Linked DNA regions of Saccharomyces cerevisiae S288C. Changing the gene in region 2 together with the main gene of any one other region gives a genetic interaction. Each region holds a gene or a part of one and is shown on either strand. Other genes may lie near its edges.

The links.
Region 1: mutations in DGR2 (region 2) and HBT1 together harm fitness more than expected from each alone (negative genetic interaction), as found in Saccharomyces cerevisiae (one large-scale study listed by BioGRID).
Region 3: mutations in DGR2 (region 2) and TPO4 together harm fitness more than expected from each alone (negative genetic interaction), as found in Saccharomyces cerevisiae (one large-scale study listed by BioGRID).

What each region holds. Positions count from the first base shown.
Region 1 is NC_001136.10:52,533-64,803, reverse strand, and holds HBT1 (Hbt1p), read left to right. Parts: upstream 1-4,398; coding exon 4,399-7,539; downstream 7,540-12,271. Other genes in the region: telomere-binding protein CDC13, read left to right, coding at 1-2,560; FMP45 (Fmp45p), read left to right, coding at 3,003-3,932; WHI4 (Whi4p), read left to right, coding at 8,458-10,407; septin SHS1, read right to left, coding at 10,704-12,271. UniProt on the Saccharomyces cerevisiae protein: Polarity-determining protein which forms a conjugate with the ubiquitin-like modifier HUB1. Involved in bud site selection and cellular morphogenesis during conjugation. Required for survival during stationary phase.
Region 2 is NC_001143.9:212,523-224,151, forward strand, and holds DGR2 (Dgr2p), read left to right. Parts: upstream 1-1,619; coding exon 1,620-4,178; downstream 4,179-11,629. Other genes in the region: signal recognition particle subunit SRP21, read right to left, coding at 1-476; OAC1 (Oac1p), read left to right, coding at 4,822-5,796; VPH2 (Vph2p), read right to left, coding at 6,048-6,695; Hsp90 cochaperone SBA1, read left to right, coding at 7,802-8,452; serine/threonine protein kinase PRR1, read right to left, coding at 8,822-10,378; DNA-(apurinic or apyrimidinic site) lyase APN1, read right to left, coding at 10,830-11,629.
Region 3 is NC_001147.6:831,188-838,442, reverse strand, and holds TPO4 (Tpo4p), read left to right. Parts: upstream 1-2,011; coding exon 2,012-3,991; downstream 3,992-7,255. Other genes in the region: MOD5 (tRNA dimethylallyltransferase), read right to left, coding at 1-769; YTM1 (Ytm1p), read right to left, coding at 4,248-5,630; FSF1 (Fsf1p), read left to right, coding at 6,401-7,255. UniProt on the Saccharomyces cerevisiae protein: Cell membrane polyamine/proton antiporter, involved in the detoxification of excess polyamines in the cytoplasm. Recognizes spermidine, spermine and the antimalarial drug quinidine, but not quinine, chloroquine and mefloquine.

The DNA.
Region 1 (12,271 bases), on a different chromosome or scaffold from region 2:
CAAACTGAAGTTCAAAGATAGGGGCTCGGAGAGGTTAGCCCGGATCACTATTTCCTTACTTTGCCAATACTTTGATATTGAACTGCCAGATTTAGATTCTGACTCAGGCGCATCCCCAACAGTAATACTGAGAGATATTCACCTTGAAAGGTTATGTTTTTCAAGTTGTAAAGCTTTATATGTATCAAAACACGGGAACTATACTCTATTCTTAGAGGACATAAAACCGTTGGATTTGGTAAGTGTGATAAGCACCATATCTACAAAATCGACAAATAGCAGCAAGCATTCGTCATCAGAACTTATTTCAGAATGTGATTTGAACAACTCACTTGTGGATATCTTCAACAATTTAATAGAAATGAATAGAGACGAGAAAAACAGGTTTAAATTTGTAAAGTTGATTCACTACGATATAGAACTAAAAAAGTTCGTTCAAGACCAACAAAAGGTATTATCGCAGAAATCAAAAGCCGCAGCAATTAATCCTTTCTTTGTGCCAAATAGACTAGGGATACCTTACATTGAATCCCAAAACGAATTCAACTCGCAGCTTATGACGCTTAATGTAGATGAACCGACCACAGATATAAGCAACATGGGAGAGGAAATGCATGACAGCGCAGATCCCATTGAGGATTCAGATTCCTCAACTACCTCCTCTACCGGGAAATATTTCAGCTCAAAATCCTACATCCAGTCACAGACACCTGAAAGGAAAACAAGCGTACCAAATAATTGGCACGATGATGATTCCGGAAGCAAGAGGAAGAGAAAGCTTTCTTTCCACAGTCCGAACGCGTCCTCAATCCGCAAAGCCATCAGTTATGAGCAACTTTCCCTAGCTAGTGTAGGCTCAGTTGAAAGGTTAGAGGGCAAAATTGTTGGCATGAATCCACCTCAATTCGCCAGTATAAATGAGTTCAAATATTGCACATTGAAATTATATTTTACGCAGCTCTTACCAAATGTCCCAGACAAGGTCCTGGTGCCAGGCGTCAATTGCATTGAGATCGTTATCCCGACGAGAGAGCGAATCTGTGAGCTCTTCGGTGTTTTAAACTGTCAAAGCGACAAGATATCGGATATTTTACTACTGGAAAAGCCTGATCGAATTTCCGTCGAAGTTGAAAGGATCCTGTGGGACAATGACAAGACCGCCAGCCCAGGTATGGCAGTATGGAGTTTGAAGAACATTAGCACCGACACGCAGGCGCAGGCGCAGGTGCAGGTGCCTGCGCAATCGTCGGCGTCAATCGATCCGTCTCGCACAAGGATGAGCAAAATGGCAAGGAAAGACCCCACCATCGAATTCTGTCAGTTGGGACTCGACACTTTTGAGACCAAATACATAACAATGTTTGGCATGCTAGTCTCCTGCTCGTTTGATAAACCTGCCTTTATATCTTTTGTCTTTAGCGATTTTACCAAGAACGATATCGTCCAAAACTATCTTTACGACAGATATCTAATAGATTACGAGAACAAGTTAGAGCTGAACGAGGGCTTCAAAGCCATCATGTACAAAAACCAATTCGAAACGTTTGACTCTAAGCTCAGAAAAATATTCAACAACGGGCTAAGAGATCTACAGAACGGCCGCGATGAAAACCTTTCGCAATACGGCATAGTTTGTAAGATGAATATAAAAGTGAAAATGTACAACGGCAAATTGAATGCCATTGTGCGCGAATGTGAGCCGGTCCCGCATTCCCAAATAAGCAGCATCGCCTCGCCTTCACAGTGCGAACATTTAAGATTGTTCTACCAACGAGCGTTCAAGAGAATTGGCGAATCCGCAATTTCACGCTATTTCGAAGAGTACCGGAGGTTTTTCCCCATACATAGAAACGGTTCTCATCTCGCGAAACTGAGGTTCGATGAAGTAAAGCATGAACCAAAAAAATCACCCACTACACCAGCTCTCGCAGAACACATACCCGACCTGAATGCAGACGTGTCCTCCTTCGATGTAAAGTTCACAGATATATCTTCTCTCTTGGACTCCTCGGCTCGCCTCCCGCGCCCACAGCAAACACACAAGAGCAACACATTATACAGTTGCGAGGGCCGTATCATCGCCATCGAGTACCACGCATCTGATCTCTGCTTCCATATCACGAATGAGCTCCCACTTTTACAAACCCGCGGCTTGGCCCCGGAGCGAGTGTTGCAACTACACATCATTACCTCCAAGAACTTTGCTTATTTTTTCAACCGCTCAAGCGCCTACTTACAGCGTCAGCCTCTTGAGGAAAAATATACGCAATTGGCACAATTTCTCGGCCATTCATTTAAATTCAATATAACCTCCTCGCTCACGCTGTTCCCTGACACTACCGTGGCACTCCAGATCTGGTGCCCAATTGAATGCACCTTTCGGGAATTGCAACAACAGCTGGCCCATCCGAAGGTTGCAGCGGCTCCTGATTCAGGGAGTCTTGATTGCGCAATTAATGCTACCGTCAATCCTCTGCGACTTCTTGCCGCGCAAAATGGCGTCACCGTGAAAAAGGAGGAGGATAATGACGATGACGCCGGAGCCGTTCCCACCTCGTAAGACATGATCCGCGCAGCCCAACGCGGCGGTGCCAAATTGCAGTGACGTCTCGGAGTAATATAAAAAAAAAAGACCAAATAACCAAATTTAAGGGTGCTCTGAATATAAGGGAGTGGAACGTTTTCACACGAAGGAAAAGGGAAAGAGGGGAGTGGTAAGAAGCAAGAGTCAATGAAAGGTCTTCCTTCCTTCTTGATGCTAAAACAAGGATAGTCTGGAATGGGGAGGAGCATTCGGCGCAGATGCCGACATATAAAAGGATGGTTGCTTTGCAACAGTTACTTGATCTTGCTTTGTTCTCTTGATTAGTTATCCGTTAGATGCAAACTTTAAGTACAGTAATTTTGAAGTGAATTAAAAAGAAAGAGGTATTTACGTTTAACGCTTATACTTTCCTTTTTATCCAAGTAACAAGTAACACTAATCACTATAATCTACCGCTATGATTTTCAAAAGGTTCGTTAATTTGCTTGTGTTTTTATTCCTACTCGGTGCTGGCTTATTGACGTTTTTTCTTATTCTGTCAGGAGGCAGAGAATCTGGAACGCTGAAAAATTTTTATTGGTTACAGGCTGATACAAACGGCTTTAACAGCGCTCCATCGACCACGAGATGGTACAATTACAATTGGTGCGGCTACGAAGACGGCCAGCTAGCTAATTGCTCTAGCAGGGCGCCCGCCAAGCCTTTCTCTCCCAGAGACAATTTTGGTAACTCTGTCAATTTACCATCGTCGTTCAGAAACAACCGGGATACCTACTATTATCTATCCAGGGTTGGATGGGCCATGCTGCTGATTTCCCTATTTTTCATCGTACTGGCGCTGGTACCCGGCTTTCTGGCTACCTTCCTTCCTTTCAAGGCAGTGCCAGTCCTGTACTGTGTGTTGTCCTGGTTGGCCTTTTTCTTCATTATATTGGCTGCATGCTTGTACACAGGTTGCTATGTGAAGGCCAGAAAGACCTTCCGCAACAGCGGGAGGTCTGCAAGGCTGGGACCCAAAAACTTTGCGTTCATCTGGACTTCGGTCTTCTTGATGCTCGTGAACGCCATTTGGTCCACTATATTCAGTGCTACCCACAAGGCCCACTCTACCTACTCGGACCACGACATGTATGCCCAATATGAAAGCCCTTCTGTTGACACCGGTGCTCAAATGGAGAAATCCACTTACAATAGTGGGGCGACGGACGGCGCGGGCCCTATCACAGCCGCACCTGTGGTTGGACAGCCTCAACCTACAACCACCACTACTCCGGCTGGCAATGGCAAGTTCTTTCAAAAACTGAAAACAAGAAAGCAGGTGCCATCAGCTGAGTTAGAACCAGCTGGGGATGGTGGTCTTGCCGGGCCAGTGACGGTACGCGACTAGGAAGGAAATAATCACCATAAAATACTTCCTAATTTTTTTTTTCTTCCTACATTCGCAGTACCATAACTCTGCATCTACCTCCAACCGAAATATTTTTTTGTGACATGGTATAATCCATATGTATCGTGCTGAAATTTTTTCTTGGAGATTTTCATTTATTCTCCACCATTCTTTCTCGCCTCCCCTCCTCCTTTTCCTTCTAATAATAACTTAGTTCTTTTTCCTTCTTCATTAAAGAGACTAAGAAAAAAAAAACGTCAATAATACCCGGCACCTTAGTGTAATTAATAGTAATAATATTGAATTTAATTCTTTAATAATACCACCCCCTCAAGAAAATTAATATATAATACTAACTAACTCAAAAACACCTTTTTTTATATGTAACTGTAGAGATAAGAATAATACCGAACACCGTGAAGATTTCCCAGTGGAGAGCTATCAAGAATATCACCCAACCCAAGATATGAATATGAACGAGTCCATTTCCAAAGATGGTCAAGGCGAAGAAGAACAAAATAATTTTTCGTTTGGTGGTAAGCCCGGTTCCTATGATTCCAATTCAGATTCTGCTCAACGCAAAAAGTCTTTCAGTACTACAAAGCCGACCGAATATAACTTACCAAAAGAACAGCCCGAATCAACGTCCAAGAATTTGGAAACCAAGGCTAAAAACATTCTGTTACCTTGGAGGAAGAAGCATAATAAAGACTCGGAAACTCCACACGAAGACACTGAGGCGGACGCTAACCGCCGTGCCAACGTAACTTCTGATGTGAACCCTGTTTCTGCCGACACCAAGTCAAGTTCTGGCCCTAATGCTACTATTACTACCCATGGATACTCTTATGTCAAAACAACGACACCCGCTGCTACAAGTGAGCAATCCAAAGTGAAAACGTCACCTCCCACTAGCCATGAACATTCAAATATAAAGGCGTCCCCCACTGCGCATAGACATTCCAAAGGTGATGCAGGGCATCCAAGTATTGCAACCACTCATAACCACAGCACTTCCAAAGCTGCCACTTCTCCTGTTACTCACACGCATGGTCATTCCAGTGCTACCACTTCCCCTGTCACTCACACACATGGTCATGCCAGTGTGAAAACCACATCTCCTACCAATACTCATGAGCATTCTAAAGCGAATACTGGTCCATCAGCCACTGCAACTACACATGGACATATCAACGTCAAAACTACCCACCCTGTTAGCCATGGTCACTCTGGTTCAAGCACTGGTCCTAAATCCACCGCTGCTGCACAGGATCATTCCAGTACTAAAACTAACCCTTCAGTTACTCATGGACATACAAGTGTTAAAGATAACTCCTCAGCTACGAAGGGTTATTCGAACACTGATTCCAACTCAGATCGAGATGTCATACCTGGTAGTTTCCGGGGCATGACTGGTACTGATGTGAACCCTGTTGATCCTAGTGTTTACACAAGTACAGGCCCAAAGAGTAATGTTAGTTCCGGTATGAACGCTGTCGACCCTAGTGTCTACACGGACACAAGTTCGAAGTCTGCAGATCGTAGAAAGTACTCTGGCAACACTGCGACTGGTCCTCCTCAAGATACAATTAAAGAAATTGCACAGAACGTGAAGATGGATGAGAGCGAACAAACTGGATTGAAAAATGACCAAGTTTCTGGTTCTGATGCAATCCAACAGCAAACTATGGAACCTGAACCCAAAGCAGCAGTCGGGACAAGTGGTTTTGTAAGCCAGCAACCTTCTTATCATGATAGCAATAAAAACATTCAACACCCAGAAAAGAATAAGGTTGATAATAAAAATATATCAGAAAGAGCGGCTGAAAAATTTAACATTGAAAGAGATGACATTCTGGAATCCGCCGATGATTATCAACAGAAAAACATTAAATCCAAGACGGATTCTAATTGGGGTCCAATTGAATATAGTTCCAGCGCTGGTAAAAATAAGAATCTGCAGGATGTTGTTATACCTTCTAGTATGAAGGAGAAATTCGACAGCGGTACATCTGGATCTCAGAATATGCCTAAAGCGGGAACCGAATTAGGACATATGAAGTATAATGATAATGGTAGGGATAACTTGCAATATGTTGCCGGTTCACAAGCTGGTTCTCAAAATACGAACAACAATATTGACATGTCACCCCGTCATGAAGCAGAATGGTCCGGGCTTTCTAATGATGCCACCACCCGAAACAATGTTGTATCACCTGCTATGAAGGACGAAGATATGAATGAAGATTCTACTAAACCTCATCAATATGGGTTGGATTATTTGGATGATGTTGAAGACTACCACGAGAATGATATTGACGACTACTCAAATGCAAAGAAAAACGACTTGTATTCTAAGAAAGCGTACCAGGGAAAACCATCGGATTACAATTATGAGCAGAGAGAGAAAATCCCAGGTACTTTTGAACCTGATACGTTGTCAAAATCAGTGCAAAAACAAGATGAAGACCCGTTGTCTCCAAGGCAAACCACTAACCGTGCTGGTATGGAGACTGCAAGAGATGAGAGTCTTGGCAATTACGAATACTCGAATACTTCTGGTAACAAAAAATTATCTGATTTAAGCAAAAATAAATCAGGCCCAACTCCAACGCGTTCTAATTTTATTGACCAAATTGAGCCAAGAAGAGCAAAAACAACACAGGATATTGCATCCGATGCCAAGGATTTCACCAATAATCCGGAAACAGGTACTACTGGAAACGTAGATACAACCGGAAGGATGGGTGCAAAATCCAAGACCTTCAGCTCGAACCCTTTTGATGATAGTAAAAATACAGACACTCATCTCGAAAACGCTAATGTTGCTGCCTTTGATAATTCCAGATCTGGAGACACTACATACTCCAAATCAGGGGATGCTGAAACAGCTGCTTACGATAATATTAAAAATGCGGACCCTACATATGCCAAATCACAAGATATTACTGGAATGACTCACGATCAGGAACCATCATCAGAACAAAAGGCCAGTTACGGTTCTGGCGGCAATTCCCAAAATCAAGAATATTCTAGCGACGATAATATTGATGTCAATAAGAATGCGAAAGTTTTAGAGGAAGACGCACCGGGCTACAAGCGTGAAGTAGATTTGAAGAACAAACGTAGAACCGACCTTGGTGGTGCCGACGCCTCAAACGCTTATGCTGCCGAAGTTGGTAATTTCCCTAGTTTGATTGACCCACATGTCCCAACATACGGATTTAAAGACACCAACACCTCTAGTTCTCAAAAGCCATCTGAGGGCACCTACCCAGAAACCACTTCCTATTCAATTCATAATGAAACAACTTCTCAGGGAAGGAAAGTGTCGGTGGGTTCAATGGGTTCCGGAAAATCAAAACATCATCACAATCATCACCGTCACAGCAGACAGAATTCTTCAAAAGGGTCTGACTACGACTATAATAATTCTACTCATTCAGCCGAGCACACTCCAAGACATCATCAGTACGGTTCCGATGAGGGTGAGCAAGATTACCATGACGACGAGCAAGGTGAGGAACAGGCTGGTAAACAAAGTTTCATGGGTAGAGTGAGAAAAAGTATTTCTGGCGGTACTTTTGGATTTAGGAGTGAAATTTAAACACTTCTCGATTAACAAATTCCCAGTATTCTTTGAAATCTATTTTTCTTCCTCAATTGAATTTGAATAACTGTCTACGCGGACTCCTCCTATCTACAACTACAACAAATTTTAACCACTTTATTACCACTTTCCTCTTTCATTTATTTTTGTCTTTTATGTTGTCAATTTACTAGTATTTTTTTTTTTTTCATTTACGTTCAAGGTTTTTTATACTCATTTAACTTGTCTTAGGTTATTTATATATATACCTATATATTTATATATATATATATATATGTATGTATATATTATTATCACCAAATGAGAAATAATAGCTAATTTGATTTTTGATTATTTAAAATATTGGTTTGTTCTTTCTGCAAACATCTCGTTTGGTACGATATTAGTGAAAAACGATGTAATTATCAACACGTGCATTACCCAGCGTTATATTTTCATTACCCGGACGTGGTGTTTTTTGTTTTTTAATGTTTCTTAGACTTAAAGAGGAATGGAATGGTTATTTGGATTAAATCATAGAAAAGTACAATTAAGGTTACGGCAGGAGCCTCGAACCGGTAGTTTTACAGAAAATAGACCCATCTGGTGGCAACACTAAATCATTGAAATAATAGCAAACAATTGTTTCAAAACTCCTCCCATTTGGATCTCATCTCAATTGTTTTTTCCTTCTTAGTTAAAAGTTCACGAAATTAGGAAATCTAAGAATCAAAATATAATCCGCTGTTATTTCTGCGTGTAAAGGTTTATCTTCTACTTGTGTCATATTTCACAAATTATCACTTTGCTAAAACAAGGGACTGACTTCTTTCTTTATTTTTCGAGCATTTTTCAAAAAAGCAGGGTTTTTGAAAACAGGAACCTTAGTTGCCACATCTACGCTGAAAAATAACGCTTAAGGTTTCTCAATTAACAATGTCATTAGTGCATAATCAGACGAATTTAAACGAATCCAAATTTCTTATAGAAAGGGCATTTAGTTCTAGTTCAGAAACCGTTCCATTATCAAAGGAGGCAACATATCCCATGCCAACTGCATATAGTTTTTCCGCAGTTAGGAGCAACAGCGAGACTAACATTAAAAGAGAGAACCCGCAAGGTTTTGCAAAAGAACCTATTATGACTTCTATGCTTCATAATTTGACCATGTCCACGGGGAAAGGGAACGGGAATGACGTCAATTCTTTAGCCCCACATGATGTGGATGTTGGCCCCTACTGTCTTTTGCTGAGGAATTTGCCAAAAGACATTACACTAAGAGAGTGTTATTGTATATTTTCACTAGCAACTGGGGTGTCAAGTATAGAACTAAAAAGGGATGATAGAGAACCCTTTAATGACAATGAAAAAGTCGTTGTGGTCAAATTTGGATCCCTTTCTTTAGTAACCCATTATGCTAATATATTAAACTCGAAGTCTGAGATTTTTGGGCCTAGTTTCCCCTTTAGGTCTCACATTGACGTAGTAAATGAACAAACGCAGCTTCCAGTGAGTTTTCAAGAACATGTTTCATCTGGCACTACAAATAGTTCTCCAAAGAATTACCAATTGTCGTCCAGTGCGCAAAATGAAATTCAAAATCAAAGTTTTAATACTATATCATATGGAAAAACTAGTTCCTCTCCATTAGGGCCTTCAGCGGCCAAGCCAAGGCCTTCATTACTTTCAGAGAGATCCCTCCGTTTCTCATTCAATGACCCATTCGGATTGGAAACAATCTCTCAAAGAAAAGAATCCGTACCCTTTCTACGAAATAGCATCTCACAACATGATTTATCAAACGTAACCACCACACCAGTTCCAGCAGGAATGCCACCTCAGAAGGACGCTGGCAAGTCACTTTTGCTACTAGAAAAGGATGAAATAAATGAAAGTATTTGGAATGGTGATGAATTAGTTAATGATGTTGGTAATTCTTCATTTGGTGCATCTTTACAAGAGCCTCCGATGTCATCTACGCCTGTGATGGAGTGGAATGCTTCCTCAACTGCTAATATTCCTCTTTTTCAATTATCTAGCCAAGAAAATCATCAGTCTAATCTGTTGCCTCCATCCCACCATTCAATTAGCCAGGATGTTCCACATATTCAATCACAACCTAATCTGAACAATTCAGGAGTAATACATTCCGCGACTTCTCTACCGCATTATCACTTATTGAACCAAATTAATGCTTCAACTAAGACACAAAGTATTCAGCAGAGCGTTTCGAATGTTCCTTCCAATTTGGACCTGAATCTCCAAACGGAAAATGGCCACCCACAATCTTCTGCTCCTAACGGGTCTTCAATATTCAACAACCAAAAGGTGAATCAAGGCTTTTTAGTGAGTGAACAAGACACCAGTACAATATCACGACAGAAAGAATGTTCTTCTACAGCTTCTGCCTCTGCATTTTCGAAAAATAACGAAACAAATGTGGCAGGTTCCACAACTATTTCACAGGCTGACCTATCACTACTAGCCAAGGTGCCACCACCAGCCAATCCCGCGGACCAAAATCCTCCTTGTAATACTCTTTATGTGGGTAATCTACCTCCGGATGCCACGGAACAAGAATTAAGGCAATTGTTTTCTAATCAGCAAGGTTTTCGTAGATTATCCTTCAGGAATAAAATGAACTCTCACGGTCATGGCAACGGTCATGGCCATGGTCCAATTTGTTTTGTAGAATTTGAGGATGTTAGCTTTGCCACTAGAGCATTGGCAGAATTATATGGTAGTCAACTACCTCACCCCCGCCCTTCCCTCAACAACAAAGGAGGTATCAGGTTGAGCTTCTCTAAAAATCCATTAGGCGTTAGAGGCTCAAACAGTAGGAGTAAATCTGGTTACAGCTTTAATGGAAGTTACGGGAAATCATGATAGATTTAGTATTGCTTTATTAATTTTCTTTTGCTTTACTTTCTGACCTTCGTTTTTACTTTTTGGATTTTGCAGTTTTTTCATGCTCTACTTATTTAGTTTATGCCATATTTAAATTTATCCCTACAATTATTTGACACTGTTTGTATGTGTGTTCCCTTCTTGAAGGCTGTGCTGAGGAAACTTTGTAGTTGGTACATAAATTTTTGATCAAAAGTAAAAATACCCCCGTTCGGTAACTTATACATTTATTTATTTATTTATTTGCTCAGCTTTGGATTTTGTACAGATACAACTCAATCTCTACCCGATGCAATAGAGGCTAAATCAGTATACGTGTCATTTTTTTTAATTTGGCTCCTTGTGCTCTGTTGTAGAGAATTGATTGAAGATGATGAACCGTTTAGTTTATTCTGATTTATTAGTTTTTCCCTCAATTTCAATTCGTGTGCTTTTCTTTCTAATTCTTGAATTCTTTTTTGTAATTCTTTAGCTGACTGGGCCTCTAACTCTTCCAGTTTTTGTTGTCTTGCTAAAATTCTTTCATGTCTCAAGACATATGGAACGGTTTCTGAAATATTTCTTAACTTGGTACGCTCTGGTAAGTCCGGAGAGTTCAAGAATTTTGGTGAAGATTCTGTTTTGATAGATCTTATCAAATTTTCATTTTCTTGTTTTATTTCTCTACCCAACTGTCTCACGGGAGACATTTCCTGTTCATTTTCTGCTGAATCATGTTCGCCATTGTCTTCGTATTCGTTTTCCTTAAAGTTTCCACTTACTTGGTTTCTTGGTGTGTCCGCTCTCAAATTGTTTGCAAGAGTTTGAGAAGAATTGAATTGACCAGTGCTTATCAAAGAGGCAAAGTTGCTTAAACTTGGAGCATTTGACTGTCTCTTTGTAGAATTAGGACCAATTTCTTCAGCGTTGGCCACGGACGATAGTTTTTCGGAACGGTAATTCTCGTAAAGCAAATTTTGCGTGGTGTCTTTGAATTCTTGTAAGTGAGAACCAAACAGGACGTTTTTTAAAACTTTCAAATCCGAAATTTTGTCGTCGTCGATTGATATTATCCCCCACGGATACTCCCTAACGTATCTACCTTCACTATCTCTGGTATCTGAAGTTATAATAGCAAATGGTTGCAAGGATGCCAAGGCTTGATTCTCTTCCATGGATTCCAAATCATCATCTTCAGGGTCAACCTCAAATTTGTAAATTGGGACGTTGTATCTTTCCACATCAAACATAATATTTTTCCTGAATTGAGTTAGCTCCTCCTTGGTGAATGAGTCAGCTCTTGTTATTATTGGCAGTACATTTGTGTATTTGGAGATGCTTTTCATGAGCTCTACATCGACTTCTCTCAGACCGTGTCCAGTGGGTTCAATAAAATATAATGCTACGTGAACCCTGGTGTCCTCAAACCTCGGATTCCTTTTAATTCTGGTTTCCTCAGCTAAAACAATGTCAAATTGTTGTTCTAAATACGACATAACTTCCTCAGAACACAACGAATCGTCCAAGTTTTCGCCTATACCATGCGTCATAATCAAGTTGAAAAACACGGTATCATCCTCGTTCATTTCTGGCTTTCCTTGATCTTTGTTGCCCCCAAGTTCTAATGAAGTGGAGGTGATGGTAATACCTGGTTCCAAATTGGCTCTCATTGGATCGAATTCAGAAACATAAGATGGAATCCCATTTTTCGAATTAAATGAAACAACTTTTGTCGGAGCAATAACTTTTACTTCTGGGTTAGAGCTAATACTAGCATTTGATTTACCGTATTGATACTTATGCGGAAAGATCTTAGTTTCCAATAGATTGTTAGCAAAGGCGGTCTTTCCTGTACCTGCTGGCC
Region 2 (11,629 bases):
TTTTTTTTCTTTTTTGAAGCTGCAGAGTTACCATTGTTATTTTGCACAGCATTAGCTTTTTGCTTCGGTTCTGTAGCAGTTTTCTTAGCCGCAGGATCGCTCTTTTCGACATCTGTGTTGACAATTAAGGTGGCTAAACCAACAATGTCTTGGATGCTCTTACCTTTTATTTTTTTACTCGATTCTTTTATTTTGTTATTTTTCTTCTTCGACTGTGCTATTTTTTCAATTTTACCTGGAGTTATAGATACGCCTCGTGGGCCTAATGCACTAAGTAATCTTGAAACATCTTTACTCTTATTAGTAGTAAATTTATAGTTCAAGGATAAATGCGAGTTATGAGTTCTAAAGGACACTTTGGTGTCTGTCTTCTGTGTTGGTGGTTTATACGATATGGAGAAGAGCGTTTGAGATGGATTCACCTCAAAAAGGCGAACACTGTTCGTGATGTAGTTGTCAATGGGTTTCACAGACATGTTTTCCAGTTCAATTAGGTCTGTTAATTTGCTCGCGGAGGGAAGCTCTTTTATTTGGGTCAATCGAAGACAGCACAATTGAAACTTTTAGCATTGTTCTCGCGAAAATAGTCAGTTCTTAACTTTTCAAGAGTGGTGCGGCTTACCCTGCCTTCTGCCATAAGTAAAAAGTGACGCAAATAGCGGAACTATTGTCATTGTTATTGACATTAATAATCTGTATTTGTGCTCATCCGGTTCCATTTACTAGTATGCAGACGTATCTTTTTCAGCTGGACGAATTGAGGCTTTCATTAGCTAGTGTGGTAATGACAAACTCTTTGCACTGAGAAAATACTGGGGTGAGGAAACTTTTCTACCGAATTGCTTCCACATCTATCAAAGCATGATTATCAAGTATTCAAAGATCAAAGCATGATGTTTGCAAATAATAAATGTTCAGGCGTCATTTAATGTTGATAATGGTGTACGGGAAGTGACTTGTAAAAGGTAGGGGAAACCGTCAGTCTATCACTAGTGGTGTATCTGATGGAAGTGCCCTTTTATATTTTTTGCCGTACACAGGTAAAGAAATGAAAGTACTAATTATCCCCCATACTCTTTGTTTCTCTTGTGTTGTTTATGATCAATCCTTCTAATTTAATCATTCAATAACTAAATATTTAAAAAGATGTAATTGCCGCAAAAAAAACTCTCAATTATTTACTATTTTGAAACAGTCTCTCAGATAGTATGCGCCATATTGGTGTGATGATTCCTGTGAAAGCATTTTTGGGTTTGTTTAGGTGCCTTCTTTTCTTTATTTAGCATAACCGCCAATACGGAATGAAAAGTCCGTTTTAATGTACCGCTAATAATTCAAAATGCGTAAAAGAGTTTTCATAAAAAGGGTATTTGCGTCAAGCAGGAAGAAATTTTGAAAACAACTAACAGGCAACTTACAGGCATATACTGACTTTAGTAAACGTCTTCCGCTATTCTAAGAAGGAGCTGACTTGAACAAGATCTTTATTTTAACGGTGCGACAAAAACAAGGAAAGTTTACAAGCGCTAGCCGTCGAAGACGTCAATTGCACTATTACTCAGTACCGTTTTAATCCTTACCAACGTAGAATTACTATTTGTGCAGTAGGAGCCTGTGAAATGTTCAAGTCGAAAACAAGCACTTTAAGCTATGATGAAACCCCGAACTCCAACGAGGGTGATCGCAATGCAACCCCTGTAAATCCCAAAGAAAAGAGCCAAACGAAACATTTGAACATACCAGGCGACAGGAGCCGACATTCCTCTATTGCAGATTCAAAAAGAAGCTCTTCTAGATATGATGGAGGCTACTCTGCCGATATAATTCCTGCTCAATTAAGGTTCATTGATAATATAGACTACGGCACGAGGCTGAGAAAAACACTTCACAGAAACTCAGTGGTTTCAAATGGGTACAATAAACTCAGTGAGAATGACCGATGGTATTTCGACCTATTCGATAGGAAATATTTCGAAAACTATCTCGAAGAACCCACATATATTAAAATATTTAAAAAAAAGGAAGGATTAGAACAGTTTGATAGAATGTTCTTAGCTCAAGAGTTGAAAATTCCCGACGTTTACAAATCTACAACCTACCAGGGAGAACCTGCAGTTGCTAATTCAGAGCTATTCAAGAATTCAATATGCTGCTGTACGTTCAGTCATGATGGTAAGTATATGGTTATTGGTTGTAAAGATGGCTCTTTGCATCTTTGGAAAGTCATAAACTCACCAGTTAAGAGATCCGAAATGGGACGCTCAGAAAAGTCAGTCAGTGCCTCTAGAGCAAACTCACTAAAGATTCAAAGACATTTGGCGAGCATTAGTTCTCATAACGGCTCCATATCAAGTAATGATTTGAAGCCGAGCGACCAGTTTGAAGGACCTTCCAAACAATTACATTTATACGCACCGGTTTTCTATTCTGATGTGTTTAGGGTTTTTATGGAGCACGCTTTAGATATTTTGGATGCAAACTGGTCCAAAAATGGATTTCTAATAACAGCATCAATGGACAAAACTGCAAAACTATGGCACCCTGAGAGGAAATACTCATTGAAAACTTTTGTTCACCCAGATTTTGTTACATCCGCAATATTTTTTCCCAATGATGATCGTTTCATAATTACCGGATGCTTAGATCACAGGTGTAGACTGTGGTCTATACTGGACAATGAGGTTTCTTATGCCTTTGATTGCAAAGATTTGATAACATCCCTAACATTATCTCCTCCTGGTGGGGAATATACAATTATCGGTACATTCAATGGATACATTTATGTTTTACTGACACATGGATTAAAATTTGTATCTTCATTCCATGTATCTGATAAAAGCACTCAAGGAACCACTAAGAATAGCTTTCATCCATCTTCCGAATATGGAAAGGTCCAACACGGCCCTCGAATCACGGGTTTACAATGCTTCTTTTCTAAGGTGGACAAAAATTTAAGATTGATAGTTACGACAAATGATTCAAAAATTCAAATCTTTGATTTAAATGAAAAAAAACCTTTAGAGCTTTTTAAAGGATTCCAAAGTGGTTCCTCACGTCATAGAGGCCAATTCCTAATGATGAAAAATGAACCTGTAGTTTTCACGGGAAGTGATGATCATTGGTTTTATACCTGGAAAATGCAGTCCTTTAATCTTTCAGCAGAAATGAATTGCACTGCTCCGCATAGAAAGAAACGGCTGAGCGGCAGTATGAGTTTAAAAGGGCTGTTGAGAATTGTATCTAATAAGAGTACGAATGATGAATGTTTGACAGAAACGTCAAACCAAAGCAGCTCACACACATTTACCAACTCATCAAAAAATGTTCTTCAAACTCAAACTGTTGGTTCTCAAGCTATCAAAAACAATCATTATATATCATTTCATGCCCATAACTCCCCTGTCACATGTGCTTCCATTGCTCCCGACGTTGCAATTAAAAATTTGTCCTTGTCAAACGATTTGATTTTCGAACTGACTTCACAGTACTTCAAAGAAATGGGCCAAAATTATTCAGAATCTAAGGAAACATGTGATAACAAACCTAATCACCCAGTTACAGAAACAGGAGGATTCAGCTCAAACCTATCGAACGTTGTGAATAATGTTGGAACCATTCTAATAACAACAGACAGTCAAGGTCTAATCCGTGTTTTCAGAACTGATATCTTACCGGAAATACGAAAAAAAATAATAGAAAAGTTCCATGAATACAATTTATTCCACCTCGAAGCTGCTGGTAAAATCAACAACCACAACAATGACAGCATATTGGAAAATAGAATGGATGAAAGAAGTTCCACAGAGGATAATGAGTTTAGCACAACCCCACCATCTAACACGCACAATAGTAGGCCAAGCCACGATTTTTGTGAGCTGCATCCTAATAATAGCCCGGTGATTTCCGGCATGCCATCAAGAGCTAGTGCTATTTTCAAGAATTCGATCTTTAATAAATCCAATGGAAGTTTTATATCCCTAAAGTCAAGAAGTGAAAGTACGAGCTCCACGGTGTTTGGACCGCATGATATTCCGAGAGTTTCTACCACTTATCCGAAGTTGAAATGTGACGTCTGCAATGGATCTAATTTTGAATGTGCTTCCAAAAACCCCATTGCTGGCGGTGATAGCGGTTTCACGTGTGCTGATTGTGGTACAATCCTCAATAATTTCAGATAGAGAATCAGAAAGTAAGAGGAAAAACTATCTGTTCCACCGTCTTTAGATCATAAGCATGTCTGCAAATAACATAGTATTATTATTTATATCTGTAGCGATCTTTATTATTTTTCATTACTGACACATTTTCTCACAGAACCATCTACAACCCGAAAGATGCCGGAAACGGTCTTAGGCCGATGGGGTCTATTAGGGCCTACAGAGACGTCAATTGGGCTATAAGAAAAATGAAATCGAGGAAAGATTTTCCACTCTCAAATTAAGTAGGGCAAAAATATGCTTTTGTTCGCATGTGGTGTTATTCCAGTTGCGAGTCAGGGTCTGCCGATATGCTAAAGGAGGTCACGAAAACGAATCTGGCATTTAATACCTCATTAAGTTACAGCGGAATCGGCCTTCTGTTGCGGAAAAAAAAAAAAAAAAGAAAACGAACATTAAGCACCGCTGAAATTTCAAGCTGTGACTAAGTCGTCAAATGATAAATACTGCATATATATAAACTATGTGATTATATGCAACATTAAGATATACTTTCTTCTTCCATAATGCCCCCACTCCAGAACTCCATCCGAAATAGTTTTCCTTAGATTGCTATAGCAAGTCAGACACAAGCACATCTCATCGAATTATATCGTAAGCAAATATGTCATCTGACAACTCTAAACAAGATAAACAAATTGAAAAAACAGCCGCCCAGAAGATATCGAAGTTTGGTTCGTTTGTGGCTGGTGGGCTAGCAGCATGTATAGCTGTTACAGTTACTAATCCGATCGAATTGATTAAAATCAGAATGCAGCTTCAAGGTGAAATGTCAGCATCAGCTGCAAAAGTTTATAAAAATCCAATCCAAGGTATGGCGGTAATTTTCAAAAACGAAGGTATAAAAGGTCTGCAAAAAGGGTTAAATGCTGCTTATATCTATCAAATTGGGCTAAATGGTTCCAGATTAGGGTTTTATGAGCCAATCAGATCATCATTAAATCAGCTTTTCTTCCCAGATCAAGAGCCACATAAGGTACAGAGCGTCGGAGTTAACGTCTTTTCTGGTGCCGCATCTGGTATAATTGGTGCAGTCATTGGCTCTCCATTATTCTTGGTGAAAACAAGACTTCAATCATATTCCGAGTTTATAAAAATTGGTGAACAAACGCACTACACCGGTGTTTGGAACGGGTTAGTAACCATTTTTAAAACCGAAGGTGTTAAGGGTCTATTCAGAGGTATTGATGCGGCAATTTTAAGGACAGGTGCTGGTTCCTCTGTTCAACTACCTATCTACAACACAGCAAAGAACATTTTGGTCAAAAATGATCTGATGAAAGATGGCCCAGCATTACATTTAACTGCTAGTACTATCTCTGGGTTAGGTGTTGCCGTCGTTATGAACCCATGGGATGTCATTTTGACAAGAATCTATAATCAAAAAGGTGACTTGTACAAGGGACCTATAGATTGTTTGGTCAAAACTGTTAGAATCGAAGGTGTAACCGCTTTGTATAAGGGTTTTGCAGCTCAAGTGTTCAGAATCGCACCTCATACAATCATGTGTTTGACCTTCATGGAACAGACAATGAAACTAGTTTATTCGATAGAGTCGAGAGTTTTAGGCCATAATTAATTCCCATAACAAACTCCGAGGTTTGAAGTTTCATTCATTGGCCAGGACAGTTCTACTTTACTAATGGTTTCATTACAACCTTTTTCTTCATATTATGTAGCATTAAGGATAATAGAGCATTTTTTATTTCACATTCATACACGATAGTTTTATAAACGTAATTATAAACATACAGAACATTATTCACAATTGTCCAGTTCCAAGAATTATATGCTCTCGGATCTCGGAGTTCTTATTTATAAAATGATCAGTTACAGTGTAATCTTGCTTAGAACTTTCTTTTTCTCAACCTTTGTTTTTTCTTTTACTTTTGCTTCTTCGAGTTTTTTCAGATAGCTGTTATACACAACCACATCTGCTACTAAGACCAATATTCCAAAGAACAAGCACAACAAAAGACGAACATGGACCGGAAAGTTTGTTGAAGATCCGGTCCAGTACCAAATGGCCACAACAACCGATATGACACTTACAAGAACGTTGAAAACAGTGGTAACTTGTTCCTTAATCTGTTTATTAATTTGTGAAGGCGTGAGTTCATCGTCTTCTTGAAGTGAAAAGACAGACTTGCTTCTCTTGACCATACTTTGATATTCAAGTTCTTGTTCCTGATATTTCAAAAACTCTAATTTTTTCTTGAAATCCTCTGAATAGTGTAAACCTCTGACGGCCTTGGGCTTGAATTCGAACTCCAAAGGTTTCAAAAGTTCTTTGATAGAGCATTGGAGATCACTGTCTTTTCTATACTCTTTCACATAAAAAAGAAGTGACTGCATAGGTATTGCGTGTCGCTTCAGGAACAAATCAATGTCCTCATCAATTCCTTCGTTTGATTTCGCGCTATTCTTGAACTTTCGCAGAAATTCAGTTATTCTATCATTCAGTTTAATTTCGAACATTAGAGTTCTTTTATGTGATGCCAATCGTCAATTATCCTATCTTACCTTTTCTTCATTTCTTTCAGCGTTTTCATGTGAGATTTGCTTTATTTTCGCTTCCTCGTTTCTCATTTTAAATATTCACACGTCCGTCATGTCTACTTTGAGTCAGTTAAATACACAAGATTTTTGTAAAACTGAGTATTTCGTGAACAATATAATTGTTCGGATTCAATCATAGTTAAAGACTATAGTATGAGATACACAGAATATCCTAAAAGTTCCCCTCGAGGGTATAGGAAACCTCAAAATGGAATCGGTCTTTCTACATGATAATATTACTCTAACTTCTTTTCTTCTATACTTTGCCATTCATTACCCTATCACGTTATCAATCCTTGCATTTCAGCTTCCATTAAGACCGATAACTGTTTCCCAATCTCTATGTCATCATCTTACACCGCTGTGATAATATTCTAGGAAGACGAATACTAGCCAATAGATGATACAAGGATTTCATTTCGACAGAAACAAAAAAAGCATGGAAAAACGAATGGAGACAAAGAGGAAGTTAAAGAAAGTTCATTTGTGACCTCATTTACTCAGAAGAATTTCGTAAATCGGTTGTTATAGAACTGTTTTATTGTTTAAAAGAGCTTGTTATAGTAATCTAAGTGGAAATACACTAACAGTAAATAGGGCGTGTGGCGTAGTCGGTAGCGCGCTCCCTTAGCATGGGAGAGGTCTCCGGTTCGATTCCGGACTCGTCCAATCTTTTTATACTTATTAATAATTTTTTTCCTGCCGTTACTTGCTTTTAAAATAACTGCCTTTTATGAATACAGAGTATAATTTTTGATATACAAAGAGGTTGACTGTGATAATCAATACTTAATTTGTGGTTATTGGTACACATATACCTACAAAAGTTACCAACAAACTGTTCGACTTTTAATGCTACCCGCCTTCCGAGTGTTTTTGAAGGGGCGGAGAGGAGCGGCAAGAATTAGCATGGAAAAAAGCATAAAAAGACGAAATGGGTGGCAATGTATTAACTTGTTCGAGAAACCTAGTGGACTCAATTCATTACAACAACAAGTTCCCAAGATCATCGATTCATAATAGTCATGTCCGATAAAGTTATTAACCCTCAAGTTGCATGGGCTCAAAGGTCTAGTACTACTGATCCAGAAAGAAATTATGTCTTAATAACTGTGTCAATTGCAGACTGTGATGCCCCTGAGTTAACCATTAAGCCATCATACATCGAATTAAAGGCTCAATCAAAGCCTCATGTTGGCGATGAAAATGTCCATCATTATCAATTACACATTGATCTATACAAGGAAATTATACCTGAAAAAACAATGCATAAGGTTGCTAATGGCCAGCACTACTTTTTGAAATTGTATAAAAAGGATTTAGAATCTGAATACTGGCCACGTTTGACAAAGGAAAAGGTGAAGTACCCTTACATCAAAACTGATTTCGATAAATGGGTTGATGAAGATGAACAAGACGAAGTTGAAGCTGAAGGTAATGATGCCGCTCAAGGAATGGATTTCAGCCAAATGATGGGAGGTGCTGGAGGTGCTGGAGGTGCTGGAGGCATGGACTTCAGCCAAATGATGGGAGGTGCTGGTGGCGCTGGTTCTCCAGATATGGCTCAATTGCAGCAATTATTGGCTCAAAGCGGTGGTAATTTGGACATGGGAGATTTCAAAGAAAACGATGAAGAAGATGAAGAAGAGGAAATAGAGCCGGAAGTGAAAGCTTAAAAGGAGGAGCAAATCAACCTGGAGTGCTAGAATGAGTAACTTAGAATAAAAGACGAATATATGCACTTTACACAACTCTTTACCTGTTTGTTATTGGCTGCCTCTATGTAATTAAATATTATGGAATTAATAAAAATATTTTTATTCGTAACTATCTTAGATATATATTGTACATTGTCAAAAAGACAGTAGTAAGCAGATAGAAGCTATATTGGATGCAAAATAGAGAAAAAAGCAGAAATATTATGTTGCAAATGTCAAGTAATGGAACTGTATGTGATATTTAAAGAACAATTTCTATATGCTGGATGATTATCAGGTGTAAGCAATAAGAAAGAAAACGAAAGTAACTCCCATCCGTGGGAAATTTCAAGAAAAACTTAGAGTATCAGCGATCGTTTTAACGAAGGGGGATTCGTAAATTTCATTAATCGACCAACGTTGGTTCTTCCTCGTTAGCGTATTTTCCACAATCTGTTTTCCCACATTAGTTTTATAATCGCTTAACCGGTACCATCTCCAATCAAACCTGGCAATACGATGTGACGTAGCTCTGCTACGCTGTCTTGCTGAAGCGTTTGGAGGAGGGTCAAATGGTAATCTGTCCTCAAACAAGCTGTATAGTATGACACCTAAGGCCCACGTGTCGCTTAAATGGCCATCGTAGGGAACTCCCATCAGGATTTCTGGTGAGACATAATCCTCTGATCCACATCTTGCTGTACACATCTCATTGTTCTCAATTTTTTTGCAGAGACCAAAATCTGCTAGCTCAATGAAATTTTGCTTGCAGTAAATGGGTGAGTCCCTAAAACTGTTGATATCATCAAAACTATATTTCAGTAGTATATTCTCTAATTTTAGGTCCCGATGAATAATACTGTTTTCGTGCAAATATTTTACTGCCAGTACTACTTCCGTAAAAATCCTTTGAATCAGCCACGCTTCTAGTCTTCCGTTACGGGCCATGACGGCAGCTAATAAGTCTCCTGCAGGACAATAAGACATAATCATATCACAAGGCGGCAGAGCTCTTGGAGTTTTTATAATCAAATCGCATAAAGGTTTTTTGCTAGTAACAAAAATTGGATTGTTTATCCCAAGTAGTTTAACTATACATGGGTGATTTAGTGATTTTAGCACCTGCAATTCCCTAGTCAGAGAATTTTCCAAACGGGATAAAGTTTCCTTATATCGTAACGATGTATTGATTTGTTCAACATTTGATAATTCCTCGGGATATTTGAGTCGTTTAACGGCCACTTGTTTCAGTTTAGGATTGCTTTGGTCCATGAGTTCATATAAAAGTACGGTACTAAAATTTCCTGAACCAATGGGCCTGACCTTTTTCCATAATAACGGGCGATCCCAGTGATCTAAAAGAAATCCCTGAAATATATCATCGTCACACTTTTCGGTAGAACTACTACTTTCGGGAAAATAAGGTTCTTTCGTGTAGTTATCACTATCAACAGAATCATTTACTAAAGCCTCTTCAGTCACTGTTGGTAAGGAAACAACCCTTTGGGGGGATAAATTAGCTGGTGCAATAAGTTCAGAAACAACTCTTTGGTTTGGTTGTGTAACAGAAAGCATATCATCCAGTAATCGTGCATGACTTCGTCTTTTGGGTATATTCAACGAGGATTGATCTATAGGTGACATTGACAGATTGCCTGGGGATAACGGAGTGTAGGTCATCGGTGTAGGTAATGCTTGGACATTTTCAAACGTCGGAATAGATACAGTCAAAGGTGTACTGCGAGAATCACCAGTGGTCCCTTCAGTGGATGCCATTTTTTTATCTTCCTCACCATTTTCATCAATCAATGCCTTTTCGTGTTGATCGCCAATGGAGTCGGGAAATCCTTCTTGTTTCAACCGAGGAGTCTTTGGTTGTGAATATATACTACTATATTCATCCATTGTCGGTATAACCTAACAGCTGCTGTGGGTATGGATGAATTCGAAGCGTAGATGTGATTACTATCTCAAAATATACTTGTCTAATTGTGTAAAAAAGAAAAAAAAGATAAAGAACACACCCCGCGTTGAAGATTACAAGTAAAAAACTTTCTATGCTTAGGAATAACGTTCCATAAGAGGATGGTGTGCTCAGCCTTCTTAGTTCATTTACTGGAATGTATTTAACTTTACCCTTTTCGTCTGCTAATCCATCAGTATGTGAAAAATGAAAATCTAAAAAAAAAAAAGGCTGCCTTATTCTGTAACGCAACGCGAAACATCTATAAACCAAGTAAGTAGTTTCTATGAAATGGGCAACAGCATCTTGGATGACGAAGGGTAGCATTTAGTTACGTACGTTGAGATAATCTACAAAAATTGATTACGTATTTAAAATTCTTCTCGCTTCTCATTATTCTTTCTTAGTCTTCCTCTTCTTTGTCATTTGTGACAAGATATCATTATCGCTTGGCTCTGCAGTGGCTTTCTTCCTCTTGGTGCCCCCAGCTCGCTTCTTTTGTTTAACCTCAAACTTGTCTAACTGTTCCTTACGCGATTTAGCACCTAATTTCTGCAGCGTATCATTTTTTTCTTTATACTCCTTGTCTTCTAACAATTCGCTCTCACTCTTTGATTCCAACCACTCCATAAGTTTGATTTCATTACCATAGCCTTCATCATTTTCGTATGGAGTTTCCAAGACAATAGGGATACCCTGCAGGTATTCAGAGTGCGCGATCATTCTAAACACATCTATACCCAAATAACCTTGACCCAAGCGTTCATGCAAATCTCTATTTGCTCCTAAAGGAGCCTTGGAATCATTTAAGTGAACAGCACTTAGATATTTGAACCCTATTACATCATTGAACTCTTTCCAAAAATTGTTAAACGTTTCAGTGGTGCTGATATCGTAGCCTGCTGCAAATGTATGGCATGTATCTATGCAAACGCCGATTCTTGATTTATCTTCAATCATTCCAATAACCTCCTTCAAATCTACCAGAGAACTTCCTACTAAATTTCCAGTACCAGCCATATTTTCTAATACAATTTTAACAAATTTCGTTTCCTTAATTGCTTTGTTCAAATATGAGGCTAGTTGTTTTAACTGCAACTGATGGTCTCCTTTCAAAGTAGAACCTGGATGTAAGTTATACAGGCCTATCCCTAATTGCTCACACCTGTTCAGATCGTCCATGAATGACTCAT
Region 3 (7,255 bases), on a different chromosome or scaffold from region 2:
CTTGCCAAACACCATTCTCGCATTGCTCCGGCGTAAATTTATTTTGACTGTAATATTCATATAATTGCTTGATTTCTTGCAAGGCGCCTCTTTCTAGCATGTCGTCTACACGATCGTCAAGCCTTTGGAAAAGTGGCTCCGGCTTACTGTATAGCCATAAAAATAGGGTATCAAACTTCAAAGTTATTTTTTGTTCGTTAAATGTCTCGCTTGGTTTTTTGCCCGTCTTATAGTAGATTTCCAACATTCGTTGTACCCTCCTGTAGTCATTAGGATGGTATTTGGTAGCTATATCAGGATCACACTTCACAAGTGTGTTATAAATCACATCAGGGTCAGTCGATTCCAAAATATCGAGCTGCTTCCTTGTGAGCTTACGTTCGGATGATTTCGTATCGACCCGCTTATTGAAAAGAGTCTGCAAATAATAATGAGTACCCCCAACAACGATGGGTATCTTACCCCTCCGGTGAATATCTTCAATAGCGTTCATGCATTCAGTTTCAAAACGATGGGAATAGTATTCTTCTGACCAATCTACGTGATTCATTACATGGTGAGGAATGCCCTCTCTTTCTTGAAGCGGATGTTTATTTGTTATAATAGGAATATCTTTATATACCTGCATAGAATCCGAATTGATAACTTCGCCATTAAATTTTTGTGCCAATTGTATGGACAACTGAGACTTTCCTACTCCTGTTGTACCAGCAATCACTATAACTTTTTTAGACATATTTAAGCAACCTTTAAGCGGTCCCTTTAGCATGAAGATTTTTGGTTCTATTTACAAAAGATATGTACGTATAGTAGCTTATCTAATAAACTATACAGCCCTCACTGAGCTTTTCTTCTTTTTTGCCATTTTAGAATTTTTTTCTGTTTTAATTTTCTTTCCGATGAGCGAAAGATGAACGTGTGCTTTCGCCTGATTCAGTAATCAAGATCTTAGATCGACGTTGCCATCGAGGAGCAGCAACATAAGGAACTTTTACCTGATTTTAGCTTATACGAGCAAAATTCGCTCTTTATCTTTCGAAGGCATGACCACAATAGCGCAAGTAGATATGTAAATAAATCTTCCTAAACCGGTCTCGGAATGCAAAGAGCTTCGTATTTCAAAATTACCCGAATCCTATACATGTCAGGAATCAGGTTATACTCCCTAGCTCTTTTCCTGTTTGTCCATCTTTTTCCTATCATAGATGGTTATGGAGGCGGCTGTTTCTGTAAGAACTACGGAGTCGCGGCCCGGAATGGGAGAAATGCGAAGAAGCAGGCCGCAAGTGGAAGAAATTATTGGGGTAAAAGATCAACTAATGAACTCTGGATATAAAAAGTACAGTTAGCGTTTCTTCCCAACTTTCTTATGCTGCTATCAGCAAATGCATTTGCATAGGCTACAAGCCACAAGCCACAAGCCAATAAGGCATATGAATAATAAGAGAAAAAGTGCCTAATTGCTGTTTATATCAACCGTATGGCGTGCTTTAGCTGCAATAAACTTGTTTTCGCCGATTACCACTAATGGCCGACTTCCACGGATCCCAAAAATAGTGCCACGTCGGTACGGTCGGGCATAGTGGTTATTATTTCCGGGTTGTGACCCGCTTCGGATAATTGATCTATCCCCGAGGTAATAGGCCCGTGCGGTTCCGTCTTCATGAAGCTGCAGGGGCTCCGCTTAAAAGCCCCTGACGGCTCACCTTAAATCCGTGTTACGACACTATGCCAAATGAAGGAAACACTGAAATGATTGCATACCCGCACTCGTGCTTACATGCTAATTGTCCTTGTCAGAGCAAACGGTACCGGAGGCTTGAATGTGTTTATGTGTATATATATATTCGCCTGTATGGAAAGTTATAGGTTGTCAATTTGTTGTACCTGACACATCGATTTTCTAGTCATCACTTTCCTGAAAATTACAGAATAAAGATACCATCTTATACACACACATACACACACAAAGAAGCATAGACATCGTATACATATATTTTAAGTTTTACTAATGCCTTCTTCTTTGACAAAAACCGAATCTAACTCAGATCCTCGAACAAACATACAGCAGGTACCAAAAGCCTTGGACAAAAATGTAACTAATAGCGGCAACTTGGATTCGACTTCTTCTTCGACAGGGTCAATAACAGAGGACGAAAAAAGATCAGAACCGAATGCAGATTCCAATAACATGACAGGGGGCGAGCCAATTGACCCAAGAGATCTCGATTGGGACGGGCCCGATGACCCAGACAATCCGCATAATTGGTCCTCTTTGAAGAAATGGTATACTACTATGACTTCAGCTTTTCTTTGTTTGGTCGTCACAATGGGTAGTTCCCTATATGTTTCTTCCGTACCAGAATTGGTAGAAAGATATCACGTTAGTCAGACTTTGGCGCTTGCTGGTTTAACTTTCTATCTTCTGGGTTTATCGACTGTCATCGGCGCTCCATTAAGTGAAGTGTTTGGTCGTAAGCCTGTCTATTTATTTTCCCTACCTGTGTCAATGCTTTTCACCATGGGTGTTGGGTTATCCAATGGCCACATGAGAATAATTCTACCCCTAAGGTTTTTATCAGGTGTCTTTGCATCCCCCGCCTTATCCGTTGGATCAGGTACCATCCTGGATATCTTTGACGTGGACCAGGTCTCCGTCGCAATGACATACTTTGTTCTATCTCCATTCTTAGGGCCAGTTTTATCTCCTATTATGGCAGGATTTGCTACTGAAGCCAAAGGCTGGCGTTGGTCTGAATGGATCCAATTGATTGCGGGCGGTCTAATCTTGCCATTTATTGCGCTCATGCCAGAGACCCATAAAGGTATTATTTTAAGAAAGCGTGCCAAGAAGAGAAATATAGCCTTGAAGAAGTTCAGCAGGGAAGCTCAGAAAGAATTTTTAAAAACCACTGTCACTATTACAATCTTAAGGCCTTTAAAAATGCTTGTCGTTGAACCTATTGTATTTGTTTTCAGTGTTTATGTCGCTTTCATATTCGCCATTTTATTTGGATTTTTCGAAGCATACGCTGTCATTTATCGTGGTGTTTACCACATGTCTATGGGGATATCTGGCTTGCCATTTATTGGTATTGGTGTCGGGTTATGGATAGGTGCTTTCTTTTACCTTTACATCGACAGAAAATATCTCTTCCCTAAACCACCAGCTGGCACTCAACCACTCACCGAAAAAGAGAGAACTTCTAAAAGGACTACCCCTTACAGAGGTGCAAGAGACGCTGAAACAGGTGAATTGCTACCCGTTGTTCCAGAAAAATTTTTAATTGCCTGTAAATTTGGTTCTGTAGCTTTGCCTATCGGCCTGTTTTGGCAAGCCTGGACTGCTAGATCAGATGTCCACTGGATGGCTCCTGTGGCTGCCGGTGTGCCATTTGGTTTTGGTTTAATTTTGATTTTTTTCAGCGTTTTAATGTACTTCTCTACATGCTATCCGCCATTAACTGTGGCATCCTGTTTGGCTGCCAATAATCTATTAAGATACGTTATGAGTAGTGTATTCCCATTGTTTACCATCCAAATGTACACAAAGATGAAAATCAAATGGGCAAGCACTTTATTTGCATTAGTTTGCGTTGTGATGATTCCAATTCCATGGGTTTTTGAAAAATGGGGGAGCAAATTAAGACACAAGTCACAATTTGGTTATGCCGCCATGGAAAAGGAGGCTGAGACCGAAGGTGGTATAGATGACGTAAATGCTGTCGATGGTGAATTGAATCTAACAAGGATGACCACGTTAAGGACCATGGAAACAGACCCTTCGACTAGAGAAAAACCAGGTGAAAGGCTATCTCTGCGCAGGACCCATACGCAGCCCGTTCCTGCCTCGTTTGATCGCGAGGACGGGCAACATGCGCAAAATCGTAATGAACCCATTTCCAATAGTTTATACTCAGCTATCAAGGATAATGAAGACGGTTATTCGTATACGGAAATGGCCACCGATGCTTCCGCCAGAATGGTTTGAAAAGGTCTTAAGACAGATCACAATTGCATATATTCAAATAGTAAATTGGGGGATAGCTGGATAAAATTCACCAATTTAAATTTATAGAAGTTTCATACAAGTACACATTATCATAGAAGTATTTTTTTTTTTAGCAAGTAATGTCGTTTTACATAAAGAAGAAGGTGACAGAAATTTGCGAAAGCTGTTGGCAAAACCAAATTTATTTCAAGTATATCAGTACATTATTCTACATAAAAACAACAACAGTTTTTTCTCAGTTTTTGAAAATGTTGTCTCCTTTATTTATTTGAATCTTTTTGTCTTGACCAGCGCTGATAATACCCACTTTTTCAGCCCATTTGACAGCAAAAACTTTGTCATTGACGCCCTTTTGGACCGATTTGTCTTCTCTTGTTATGGTGTACATCGGAGAAGTAGACCTGACGTCCCATACCTTCACGGTACCATCGTGAGAACCCGAGCATAATATATACTCATTCTCGGGACAAGTGTCCAGAGAGGAAACGAAGTTCTTATGACCAATTAGTTGTTGCTGAGTAACTTTGGAAGACGCTCCCACACGTGGGTCATGCAATGTGATGTGTCTGGCGCTGGACCCACATGCTAACAAGTTCAAAGTCGACAATTGAGCAATGGAAAGCAACGAGTACGATGTTGTTCTTGTATCTATACATCTCGCGGTGACCAAATCCCATGTCTTGATGGTATGATCTTGTGATACTGAATAACCAACGGTATTATCTGTAGAATCGAAGATCACTTGCTCAACAGGAGCTGTATGGGATTCTAACAGAGACAGAGGGGCACGTCTTCTAATGGTACCATCTTTCATTGTCAATTTTCTCCTTTTTCTAGCAGCAGTGGATATTTTATTGTTTGGATTGTTTATATCTTCTAATGGATCAACAACTGTCATTTCCTTATAAATAGTAGACCAGAACCCAATAGAATTGTCGTATGATGCAGATAATATTCTTGAGTTGTCTGAAACATCAATAGAGACTACTGGTGCCTTATGACCTTCCAAGATAGCCAGTGTCTTACCGTCCTCTATGTTTACTTCGTCATCATCGTCTTCCTGTGCCTGTTGTTGTGAAGTTAATTTCAAATCATCGTTTTTGGTTTTCCATAATCTCAAAGTACGGTCGTTACCAGCCGAAACTAGCCTTGTATTGGAAATGTATTTTACTGCACGGATTGGGCCAGAATGACCACTGTACTGCTTTTGCACATTACCTGATAAATCCCAGGTGCGAACTATACCATCGTAAGAACCACTAATAATATGCTTGGAACCGTCGCCGACATCCAATGAGCTAACCCAGTCCTCATTGCTGAAACTATTCAAATAGGATGGTGGAAGAATTGCCCTGGTATATTCTACATTCAGCGAGGCTTCGCTCGATAAACCTTTCTTGGTCAAATAGTCGTGCAATGAAGTACGTAACAATTCACCTTCAATCAAGAAATCGAAAGGAACAGGCTTTTCCGAGCCCAACAAGTGATTGACAATTTCGGACAACCCATATCTCTTTAATGAGATGGGGGCGTACATTGGAGTATCTTGTACATGTAGTAATTCATCTTTCTCACGCGTGAAAAACCTGATTTTAACCTGCGATTTATCTTCTGTCATATTGAATTTGTGCAGTTTCCCTTGGTATTGTCTTTAAAACTTTAGGTAACGTATTGGTTCTGCGAACATAGAATATGTCTTTTTGCAATTATACAGATGAGCATATGCCTTTCACTGCTCCTACGGTTTGCGATGAGATGAGCACTTCAGAAAATTTTTGAAAAATTTTTGAAGTACTGGCCGGGTAACAGAAAACTGTCAAACCCTCTTGTGCAAGAAATAAGCTAAAGTTCTCCCTAAGAATAAAATAGTAAAGGAAGCTATTGCTACAGATAAATATAAATGAATGAAAGATATCTCACTCGCGCAGCTACCGATCTGGGCCAATGGGAGACACTAAAAGAAGCACCTGTGAGAAGCGCCCAGAACAGTATGAGGACGCTCATGAGTGTGGGAGTTGCTCTAGCTCTTCTTTTCCCCTCTGATCACCTACGGATGTAAGATGGCACAGTGAATAGAAGGCATGTTTAATATGTATCATGCCTTCTTCGGAACCGAAAATCAAAGATAACTAAAAAATGAAAGAAGAGTAATACTAGAAAAATGATCGCTGCCTCGGCGCTTTTTATACCAATGGTGCCCGAGACGAACGAAAAGTTTTTCTTTCGTACTGGCGTCCGGTACCGGAGCGTACCAGATTGAGGTAATTGGATAAGAGACTGTTAGGTCTTCGCATCAGCTTTACAGTTTTCAAAGGCGTCGACCACTGCAAGTTAGCAATAATAAAACCACACAGCATCGAAAGAAAAAAATAAACAAGGCAGAGAAATATGGCATCATCAGTCCCAGGGCCCATCGATTTGCCCGAATCCCGCTATGACTTATCCACGTATTGGGGTAGAATCCGCCATTGCGCAGAGATTTCCGACCCCACTATGTTGTTAACTACTGAGAAGGACCTGGCGCATGCTAGAGAAATCATCAGTGCGTATCGTCACGGTGAACTAAAAGAGACTACTCCGGAGTTCTGGCGAGCCAAGAAACAACTGGACTCCACCGTGCATCCGGACACAGGGAAGACAGTTCTTTTGCCCTTCCGTATGTCTTCCAACGTGCTATCAAACCTAGTCGTTACTGTAGGTATGCTGACGCCTGGTTTGGGTACGGCAGGGACTGTATTTTGGCAATGGGCAAATCAATCGCTAAACGTCGCCGTTAATTCCGCTAACGCAAACAAATCTCATCCTATGTCCACGTCCCAATTGCTCACCAATTACGCTGCCGCTGTAACTGCGTCGTGTGGTGTTGCGTTAGGTCTAAATAACCTAGTTCCCAGGTTGAAAAACATTTCTCCACATTCAAAGTTGATCTTGGGCCGTTTGGTGCCATTTGCCGCCGTGGTCAGTGCCGGTATTGTCAACGTCTTCCTAATGAGAGGCAACGAAATTAGAAAGGGTATTTCTGTGTTTGACTCTAACGGTGACGAAGTCGGAAAGTCCAAGAAGGCTGCCTTCATGGCAGTTGGTGAAACTGCATTAAGTAGAGTGATTAACGCCACTCCAACTATGGTCATCCCACCTTTGATTTTGGTTAGACTACAACGCGGTGTCCTCAAAGGTAAGTCTCTCGGTGTGCAAACTTTGGCCAATTTGGGGTTGATCTCAGTCACAATGTTCTCAGCTTTG